2 linked regions of the Zea mays genome follow. The protein of the gene in region 2 interacts with the protein of the main gene of each other region in a pairwise test. Links are inferred from orthologs where the notes say so. Each region holds a gene or a part of one and is shown on either strand. Other genes may lie near its edges. The genes, in order: protein TRANSPARENT TESTA GLABRA 1 and two-component response regulator-like PRR1.

Region 1 (4,554 bases), on a different chromosome or scaffold from region 2:
CCTTCCCAGCCTTGCCCAGCAGACCTTTATCCACATAGACTTGAATCCATCAAACATACTGACATGAAAGCCATGGTGGCGAACTTTAGATTGGTTAGTCTTACACCAGATGATGGGAAGTGCATCTCCGTAGACCATAGACACAAGACTTGCTGGCACTATTGGGTACCTTGCGCCAGAGTATGCAGGTGAACATTCTATATTTTCTTACCAAGTTCATAGATGCCATGTTCAATTCAGTTGACAATCTAGCACATTACATCTAACCTACAACTACCTGTAATAATATCATTTAAGGGTTAAATATTAATAGCTTTCATGTGGAATGATTTCATTTCAAAGACCAAGCAGTCAAACACAATACATAAATGCATAATAATATAATGAAAACTTGCATATTACCATATTTCCTCTAAAAATGGCAATTTTGTAGTGATGATTATATTGTAGAAATCAGCTAACTTACTACTGTATTTTTCTTCCCTGGACCCTGGTGCATGTGCACACCCTTATAATTTGGCATCGCTCCTATGTGTAAGTACGTACTATTGGTACTTCGTACTTTAACCTTGAAAAAAAAAAGTTTGGTCTTCTCTAAGACTAGAAATTTATTGATTCTGTGCATGGAACTCAGCTCCTACATACCACATCAATGTAATATAACATTTAGACTGCTCATTCTATTATATTTTCAGTCTGAACTATCCTGATACTATAAACAATTATAAATTTAGAAATTTTAGCGCTTCTATGTGTATATATGTACATATACATGTTTGAAACTACACAATTCTATATCTTTTATAAACATATCAAGCAACACCTTGCGCGGAGCGCGAGCAATTTACTAGTTGACATTATGTTTAACCTATTTATGGAACCATTTACCTTCATTCAGCTAGCACAACACTAGCCTGAACTTCCTTGGTGAAAACTGGACCTTTTTCTCAAGTTCACAAAAAGAGTGTTCAATTCAGGACTGCATGTTTGCATTGGAAAGTGATAACATAGATCACCAATTATATATCGATTTAGCTTAAGTTCCAAGGAATTTTCAAATAAAGACGAACTTATTCTAAATTCCTCATACATGCATTTACTAAATACTGTATTTAGCACTTATAATCAGCACATACAGAAAAAGAAAGCAGCTCGTGTCCTTGTGGATAATTCATAATAGATGCGCAAAAAATAGCAACTTCCAGGCTTCATAGGACTAAAAAAATTAGGTTACCATATATGGTAATACTGACAGAGTTAGCTCTGTATGAATCTTCAGTAAAGTTGTACAATTACACTACCTCATGCCAATGTGTAACAATGTGCGTGATAGTCTTTATACCCCTTTTGGATGTAGATGTTCAAGACTGGAATTGGAAATAGGAATTCTAAATTCTGCTGTTTGGCTGGCTAAAGAATTCAGAGCTGGAATTAAAGTTCAATTCCTTGGAATTGAACTTTAACTAAAAAGTGTCTCTCACAATTCAGATCCAAGATTCTAGGTATTGTATGGAATTGCAATTCCAGATACACCCAAACAACATATTTGTATTGAACCTCATTTCCAATACTAGACAGATAAGGTATTGGATCTAATTCAATACCAACATCTCCAATATCTACATCCAAACAGACCCTTAGTTAAATCTAAATTTATTGACATAATCAACAGAAACTATATAGAAATGAAAGCATCAAACCAAAGATCACCATGATACCAACCTTGTCAGACCCTAAGAAGCTGGACCTTGTTCTCAAAGGCGATGGCCATCCAGTCCGGGTGCGCGGCCGCCCACTGAAGTTGGTTTATTTCGGCGCCTGCATCGTACACTAGCACAGGATCAATCCCCTCGGCGGGTACAGCCGCCGCCGTCTCAGGCAGTTCCCAGATCAATGCTTGCCCGTCGTCCCCAGCCGAACAGAGGTGCCTAGTGGCTTGCGGCGCCCACGCGACTGCGTTGGCGCACGCCCGGTGCCGGTGCAGCTCGGCCACCGGCACCCCGGGCGCACGTATGTCGAGCACGACGACGGCGCTGCTGTCCATGAGCAGCGCGGCCATATAGCGGAGGTCAGAGCGGTTCCACGCCAGCCTTAGTAGCGGCGTGTCGGGGCGGGGGCTCTCGTAGACGATGGTGGAGTGCTCCTTGTCCCGAAGGTCGAAGACGCGGACGGAGCCGTCGGCCGATACGGAGGCGAAGACCCCGGCCTCCCCCCAGGCGATGTCGTGCACGGCCTTGTCGTGCGCGATGAGCTGCGTCTCCACGACCCCGCGATCGATGTCCCAGACGGTGCAGGTGGTGTCGATGGAGGCGGTCCCGATACGGCGGGGCTCGACCTCGTTCCAATCGAAGGAGGTGAGGGGTGCGCAGAACTCGGAGGAGGCCTTGCGGTTGTCGAGAACGGAGCGGAGCTCGGGCGCGGGGGCGGTGTCGGAGAGGTCGTCGAGCGGGGTGTGCCAGATGCGGAGCGTGTCGGCGGAGGAGGCGAGGAGGGACGGCGCGGCGGCGCGGGGGTTGAACTGGAGCTTGGTGGGTGGGTAAGGGTGGTCGAAGGAGAGCGCCGGGAGGGCGCGGAAGGAGGCGGCGGAGGGGCGGACGGGGTCGAAGGAGAGCAGGGAGACGCGGTTGTGGAGGTCCTCGAGGAAGCTGCCGGAGGCGAGGACGGGCGCGACGGGGGAGAAGGCGAGCGCGTAGATCGAGTGCGGGAGCTCGCAGGTGAAGGCGTGCGGGTTCGGCGTCTCCGGCCCCGACGACGAGGCGACCGAGGACGGCGGCTTGGGTGGGTCCATTGAGTGGAGAATTCGGGTCGATAGATGTGGGGGCGAAGCTGCGCGGGGGCCGATCCTGCTGGGACTTGAGAGGTGATAAAAGGAGCGACGCGCGCGTGCGAGCGGTAGGTAAACGGCGGCCGGGCACGGGGGTTGAACGATGCGGGCGGCGGCTCGCCGGGCTGAGGACTGAGGTTGTGCCGTTGTGGTAGAAGTGGAACTGGAACGTGGGATGACGTGGGTAGAGTTTACCAAAAACCAGTAGTCAACGAAAACGGTTTACCTCTAGGAAACCGACGGTTTTTGCTAAAACTGAACGATTTAAATTTTAAATTAAAAAACTTTCGAAAATCTGTAAATCAACAAATCAGTAAATAGTTAAAACCCGGTTTTCGTCAGTTTCTAAATTTTTCGACCGGTTTATATTCTTCAAATTAAACAAAAAAATGCTGATTAATTTTTTACCGGTTTTTCGTTGTTTTTACAAAAATGCTGATTAATTTTAAAAAAATAAAATTAAATATAAGATGTACCAGGAGAACACGTGGTTATATCATATTTTTTATTTTTTTATAAAAAAAATAAAAAAATACGTTTTGGACGAATTTTTAAAAGTCGACTCGAAAACGTTACCGATAATGGGAATCTCGACCGGTTTTTGTAATCCTTCCCGGCGACGAGTCAGCCGTCGTCTGGTCAAAGTTTGTTGCCCATGTCACCGGATCCCTGGTCAGGTCATTTCGTGGACTGGGAATCTTTGGTTCGTTTCTAGCGCCGGGGACATGAGTTCGTCGACGTCGACTCCATGGTTCATTTCTAGCGCCGGGGACATGCGCATCTCATCCTGGCAGGATGCGCATGCTCAGATAACTTTGATGAAGAGCACGTAATCGACGAATAACAACAACACATCCTTCACGATATTCGATAAGGCTTGGGCAACAAACAGGCATAAGAAGCATACAACATTAAGCGAAACAAACCACATGATGAGCATAAATTAACATCAGAGCCACTTAAATAGAGCACGTTTCTCTATTACTAAAGCAGATAGGTGTACAAGAAACCTGAGTCTATAGGCAGACTTTTTTTTTGAATAACCAAGCATCAAATGTCATTGTATTCCGACAAGTCAAAAAACTCATGGCGACATTACTCTCACGAGCGATCTTCGAAACCATCTCCTTATTCATGTGATCTTAGCGCTGGGAAGTGAACAATGCGCGGCTGACAATACCAGTGGCCTCAATGTAGCGGTCAACACAACGTGATATGCAGCTGCTCTCGCTTCCACTCAAGCTTGATCCTGGCTTGGTCACGCACTTTTCAAAGCACTTGTTCCCGACGGTCTGCAAGACAGATCAACACCACCTGTGAGCTTAAGAAATTTCACCATATGAAATGGCAGGAATTTCCTAGATTCATCCTTTTGCGCTTTCGTGTGTAATCTTTGTTTATTTAAGTTTGTAGAGGCAATCAGCATCATCCTATTTGTTTTTTAATAAAAACTTGGCAACATGTGGAAAAAAGACTGGCAATTTCCTAGATACATCGTGTTGTCCCCTCAGGGCTGTGAATCTTCCAAGGCAACTAAATAGTTTTTAAATTCGCTCATGTGACCCCCAAAGAAGAACTAGTCAATTGTTCGGGCTCAACACATTGCACGTGACCCAAGGCGAAAAATTAATACTGGTGGCACAGAAACAAGGAAGAAACTTCCAATATAATTGGCTAATTGCATGTATACTGCTTGTTATGTCATCGTTTCAGGCTGAAAGCACCGCCTC
Region 2 (4,557 bases):
TAATTTTAGTGCATTCAAAAACCTCATAAGTTCTAACGACTCCACAGATATCAAAGAGCCTTAAGTCTGTTCTCTTACCGTTTTAACTGTTTTTTTAACTCTTGGCTGTTAAACAATTTTCCTTGTTTAATTCATTGTTTAGGATATAAAGTTGTTTGATCTGTCCAAGCTGCCGCTGAATTTTTGGGTGATACCTATAAATTGACTAGTTAACACACAACATAAACATATGAGTATTAATCAACGTAGTTCCCCATTCCTCCAGAAATGGATCCTTGGTCATCTAAAAGACACATGGAATAAGGAATAATAGGAGGAATGTACAATAATAGCCCTGTTTTTCTCAAAAGATTATCCTGCCATAAGATCATATTGATTAGACTGGTCTGTGCAACAATAACTAGCAAAACTTCAGCTACACTTTATCAAAGATGATTTCTTCATTAAAGCAACCAGGGTAACAGCCACATGTTTTAGGGACAAAAATGTAATACTGTGTGTGAGCAAAAAGGGTGTATTGCCTAGGTCTACTGAGTTGTAACAAGATGAGCAGTAACCATCTGCAGTCTATTTTTTCACATGGAGGACCTCTCCACTACTACTCTGGAGAAGAAACCATATCTACCTCCCTGGACGATGGATCGTCATCTTCGTCTTCAGATATATCATCTCCAATGCTGATGACATCCGTATTGGTTGGCTGTCTAACAAACTGACCTCGCACCCTTGGCCTCGTTTCAGCGAGTTTCTTCCGGTTCACATACCTCACCTTCTTGTCAAAGCAGCGCTCTTTCCTCTTCAGCCTGAACTTGGCAAGTGCTGCAGCCCTCCTTTCAGAGCGACTGCATGTTTCCTCAGGCACTGGTGGTGTGCTCGATGCCGATGACCACACATTTTGCGTTGGTAAATGACTTGAGTGCGTACTCATGCCAGAAGGATTAAACTGAAATGATGGTATCACAGGTAAACCATGGCACTGAGGATAAACATTGTACTGAGGAAGCATCGCTGGCGGTGTATGTGCTTGAGCATTGTTTATGTTTGCTTGAAAATCTTGCGCCGACGAAAGTGCCATGTTGTGCTCTACCATCCCTGGGTAATAAAATGGGAAATGGTATGCAGGTGGAGTTCCTGAAGTATCATTATGGCCTTCGCTGCTTCGCTCCATATGCATGTTAGAGGAAGAAAACCATACCATAGGGTACTGCGCAGGCATCTCAAAAGCTTCTTTACTCCGAATATTTACATCAGTACCAGTGTCACTTCTATCGGTTGCGCTAGAGCAATTACCCTGGTTATCCAAGGAATCTAATCGGCTGCCACCCCTTTGTAATTCGCTGTCAAATGAGCTGGTGGCTGGGGTGCTTGGCTTGACATATGCTAGAAATGCAGACGACTCGGCAACCCTCAGGTTAGTTTTTATAGGGCGTGAAAACGCTCTTCTTGGAGAGGCTGGCAATTAAAATAATTGATCAGAAAACAGATAGAGAAATAAAGGTGATTAACAATACAAGATCAGATATTCCAGGGCAGAACAAAGGTCCGGCTGAAACATCTTACATTTTTTACTGGCATCTAGGGCAGAGCCTGGAACACCCTCCATCTTTTCTCTCTGGTCGGGCTCAGCAACCGAAGGATTAGACTGAAACACGCCAAGTGGAAGGGCATTTAAACAAGTATACTGTTAGCATGTCATCAACATACAACATAGAGCCAAAAGGGCAGATCTTTGTGGCAACGTCAAAGAACAGAACTGGAAACATAAAAAAAACCTGGACTGCAACAATCTTCCAAATGGGTGCTTGGTTCATTACCTCGTATTCAAGTTGCTTTGAGGTGCCTGTTTCTTGATTCGTGTTTCCTTTAGGCCTATCGTCGGTCTCGTCTGAGAGGAGGGTGGTGCTATTGGTATTGGCATCGCTAGGTTCTGAGAGCACCAACTCGAAGTTGTCATTGAAGAAGTTTTTCTCGGGCAAACCAAGCTGCCAACACCAGCACTCGATTTAAAGAATAATTCACGGCGGTACATCAACGCCTACGAGCATCTCAGCCTAGAGCATGCTTCTAAACGCAGAGGTTAAGGTGAGTCAGCATAGTGCCCTTTACCATCCGTCTCCGCCGCCACACATGGGTCCAAAGGTTCAGCAACTCATTCGTGCGCAGCGGCTTCACCAGGTACTCGGCGGCGCCAAGCCGCAAGCACTTGACAACAACAGACACCTCGTCTCTGTTGGACATCACTGCACGGTTCCATCGAACAGGAGGATGGTCACAGCAAGCACAATCACAGTAACAGGCACGAGGCAGGCAGAGTATAGGAATGCAGCCTACTTATGATGGGGATGTGACGCAGGTCCTTGTTCCGGGCAATGTACTTGAGCATCTTGAAGCACTTGGAGACCGGAAGATCGACCTCAGCCAGGATGATGTCGATCTCGCCGCCCTCGTAGTTGAGGATATTGATCACCTGCCGCGGAGACTTGGCGCAGGTCACTGAAAGAGAAAGTTTACCGTCACAACAGCAGCACAACAGTAAGCTGAAGGCACACATGACACCCAACAGATCCCTATCATTACAAGCCATCGTATTGGTAGTATCTATAGTACTACTAATGATTAAGCCCATGGTGAGAAGCAAGCAGAGTCCTAAATCCGGAAATCCCAACGGTTAGAGAAACTAAGTACGTGGGGGTGCAAAGGTTGACTAAGGCTAACCATGGTATGAGCAGTTGCAGAGGAGCCGCAGCACCTCCCGGGAGCTGGTGGCGTCGCCGTCGCAGAGAAGAATCCTCACCTTGCTCCGGTCCACGAACTGCTGGGCTCCCCCGACACCCACGCGATCCCCCTCGCCGCCACCCGCCATACCCAAACTCCAAACGCACCGACCACGCCTCCGGCCTCCACCAAGCGGCCAAGGGGACACGGACCGGAACCAGAGACACAGGCGCACGACGAGGGGGTCGGTGGATCTGCGCCCGCCGCCTATCACCCAATCAATCCGGGCCCCTCGCGTGCGACCACTGTGCCTTCAGATGGCTGGTTAGCAGCAGGTAGACTACTATCAGCGGCGGCGGGGGCCGCCGGGGGCCGCGGCGCCCTCCTTCGCCCGTCGCGGTCCGGCCCGCACCATTCTCCGGGGGCGGCGGCTGCGGGCGATGGCGTCTGCTCTTCTCTGCTGCGGCTGCGGCTGCGGCCTGCGGTGCTTCGCTGGAGCAGGATATTTTCCTCGCTTTTTCCGCTTTGCTCAGTGAGCGGGGTTGGGGGCACGGAGCGGCCTTGCTTCTCTCGCTCGCTCCGCGGGGAGAAGAGAAGAGAAGACGAGGGGAGGGCCGGAGGGGAGAATGCAGAGCCAGCCGCACGGCGCCGCGGCCGGGGAGTAAAATAAAAGCAAGGAACGGCTGAGCGCGCTTGGGCGAGGCGGCCAGGAGATCTCGGCCGCCCGTACCGACGTCTCGTGCAAGCAGCAGCTGACTGACGGAGCGGGTGAAAATATCTAAAACTCGCCTCCGTCAAATGCTTCGCTTTTGGCTACGTGTCCGCGAACTAGTCGCTGAAATGTTATAATCCTCGTCGGCCATCGATTGTGCGATTTTAGATTTCTTTAGACCTGTACTGCGATTTTTGGCAAAAGGACGAGGTGGAGCCACGCCCACGCTTTTGGGTTGCTCCTGGACTGGACAGTGTTACTATTTACGTCATTACGTGGAAGGACAGACACAGACCGGCTAGGTGGGGTCAGGAGCGCGACCTCGCGCTAATCTCCTCTCGTTGTTACAAAATATTATACTCTGTTCCAGAAAGAATATCATTTGACTTTTCTGAGATAAAGATTGATTGACTCGTTTTATTCAAAAAAATTTATAATTATTATTTTTCATTATGATTTAGTATCATACCGTTTACTTTAATTATAAACTAAAACTTTCTATATTTTCACAAATATTTTGAATAAGCCAAACCGGTAAAAATTTGGTCTAAAAAAAGTCAAACGACAACCTTTCTGGAATGGAGGGAGTATATGTGACCAATCAAAGATCCAAGGAATGCGACATATTTTTTCCAAGGGATACACCCCTTTGTGATACACCCCTTCATATGTATATAAACAAAACACCTTTGTAATAAAGAACTAACTGTTGTCACTTTCTCACTAACCTCGTTTTCACTAATTACAACACATTATTAGCACGTGCTCACGAGAATAGAGAGAGAAGAAGAAGAACGCTCGCTGTTTTGACAAGAACGGAGGCACCAGCCTCCAAAACGACAGGAGAGGCATGGAGCAAACCGTTTTCGTTCGCATCCGTCGAATGCGTGAAGTTCTCCATGTCGTCGATGATGCACTGTTGGAGGCGTACGCCGCTGGCCAAGATGCAGCGATCCAACCGGTGAACGCCATCATTGCACGCCGCGTTCAAGTGCACAACGTGGACTTTTTCGTGCTCCACGGATAGACAGCGATAGTGCCGCTGCCGGTGGTTGAATGCGGCCTCCCCATCGCGCTCCCATCACCGTCGGTGCCAATGGGAGACGCGGAGTCGTCGGCGACCACACCCA

The links.
Region 1: the proteins of two-component response regulator-like PRR1 (region 2) and protein TRANSPARENT TESTA GLABRA 1 interact in binary tests that used the Arabidopsis thaliana proteins (3 or more experiments, as listed by UniProt). The link is inferred for Zea mays from reciprocal best matches to the Arabidopsis thaliana genes TOC1 and TTG1.

What each region holds. Positions count from the first base shown.
Region 1 is NC_050100.1:204,509,178-204,513,731, forward strand, and holds the start of protein TRANSPARENT TESTA GLABRA 1, read right to left. Parts: upstream 2,993-4,554; 5' UTR 2,789-2,992; coding exon 1,727-2,788; 3' UTR 1,723-1,726; intron 1-1,722. Other genes in the region: pale aleurone color 1, read right to left, coding at 3,967-4,116.
Region 2 is NC_050099.1:145,826,684-145,831,240, reverse strand, and holds two-component response regulator-like PRR1, read right to left. Parts: upstream 2,993-4,557; 5' UTR 2,864-2,992; coding exon of another isoform or gene 2,716-2,863; intron 2,494-2,715; coding exon of another isoform or gene 2,384-2,493; coding exon 2,332-2,383; intron 2,241-2,331; coding exon 2,107-2,240; intron 1,983-2,106; coding exon 1,815-1,982; intron 1,643-1,814; coding exon 1,561-1,642; intron 1,453-1,560; coding exon 599-1,452; 3' UTR 352-598; downstream 1-351. UniProt on the Arabidopsis thaliana protein: Controls photoperiodic flowering response. Component of the circadian clock. Expression of several members of the ARR-like family is controlled by circadian rhythm.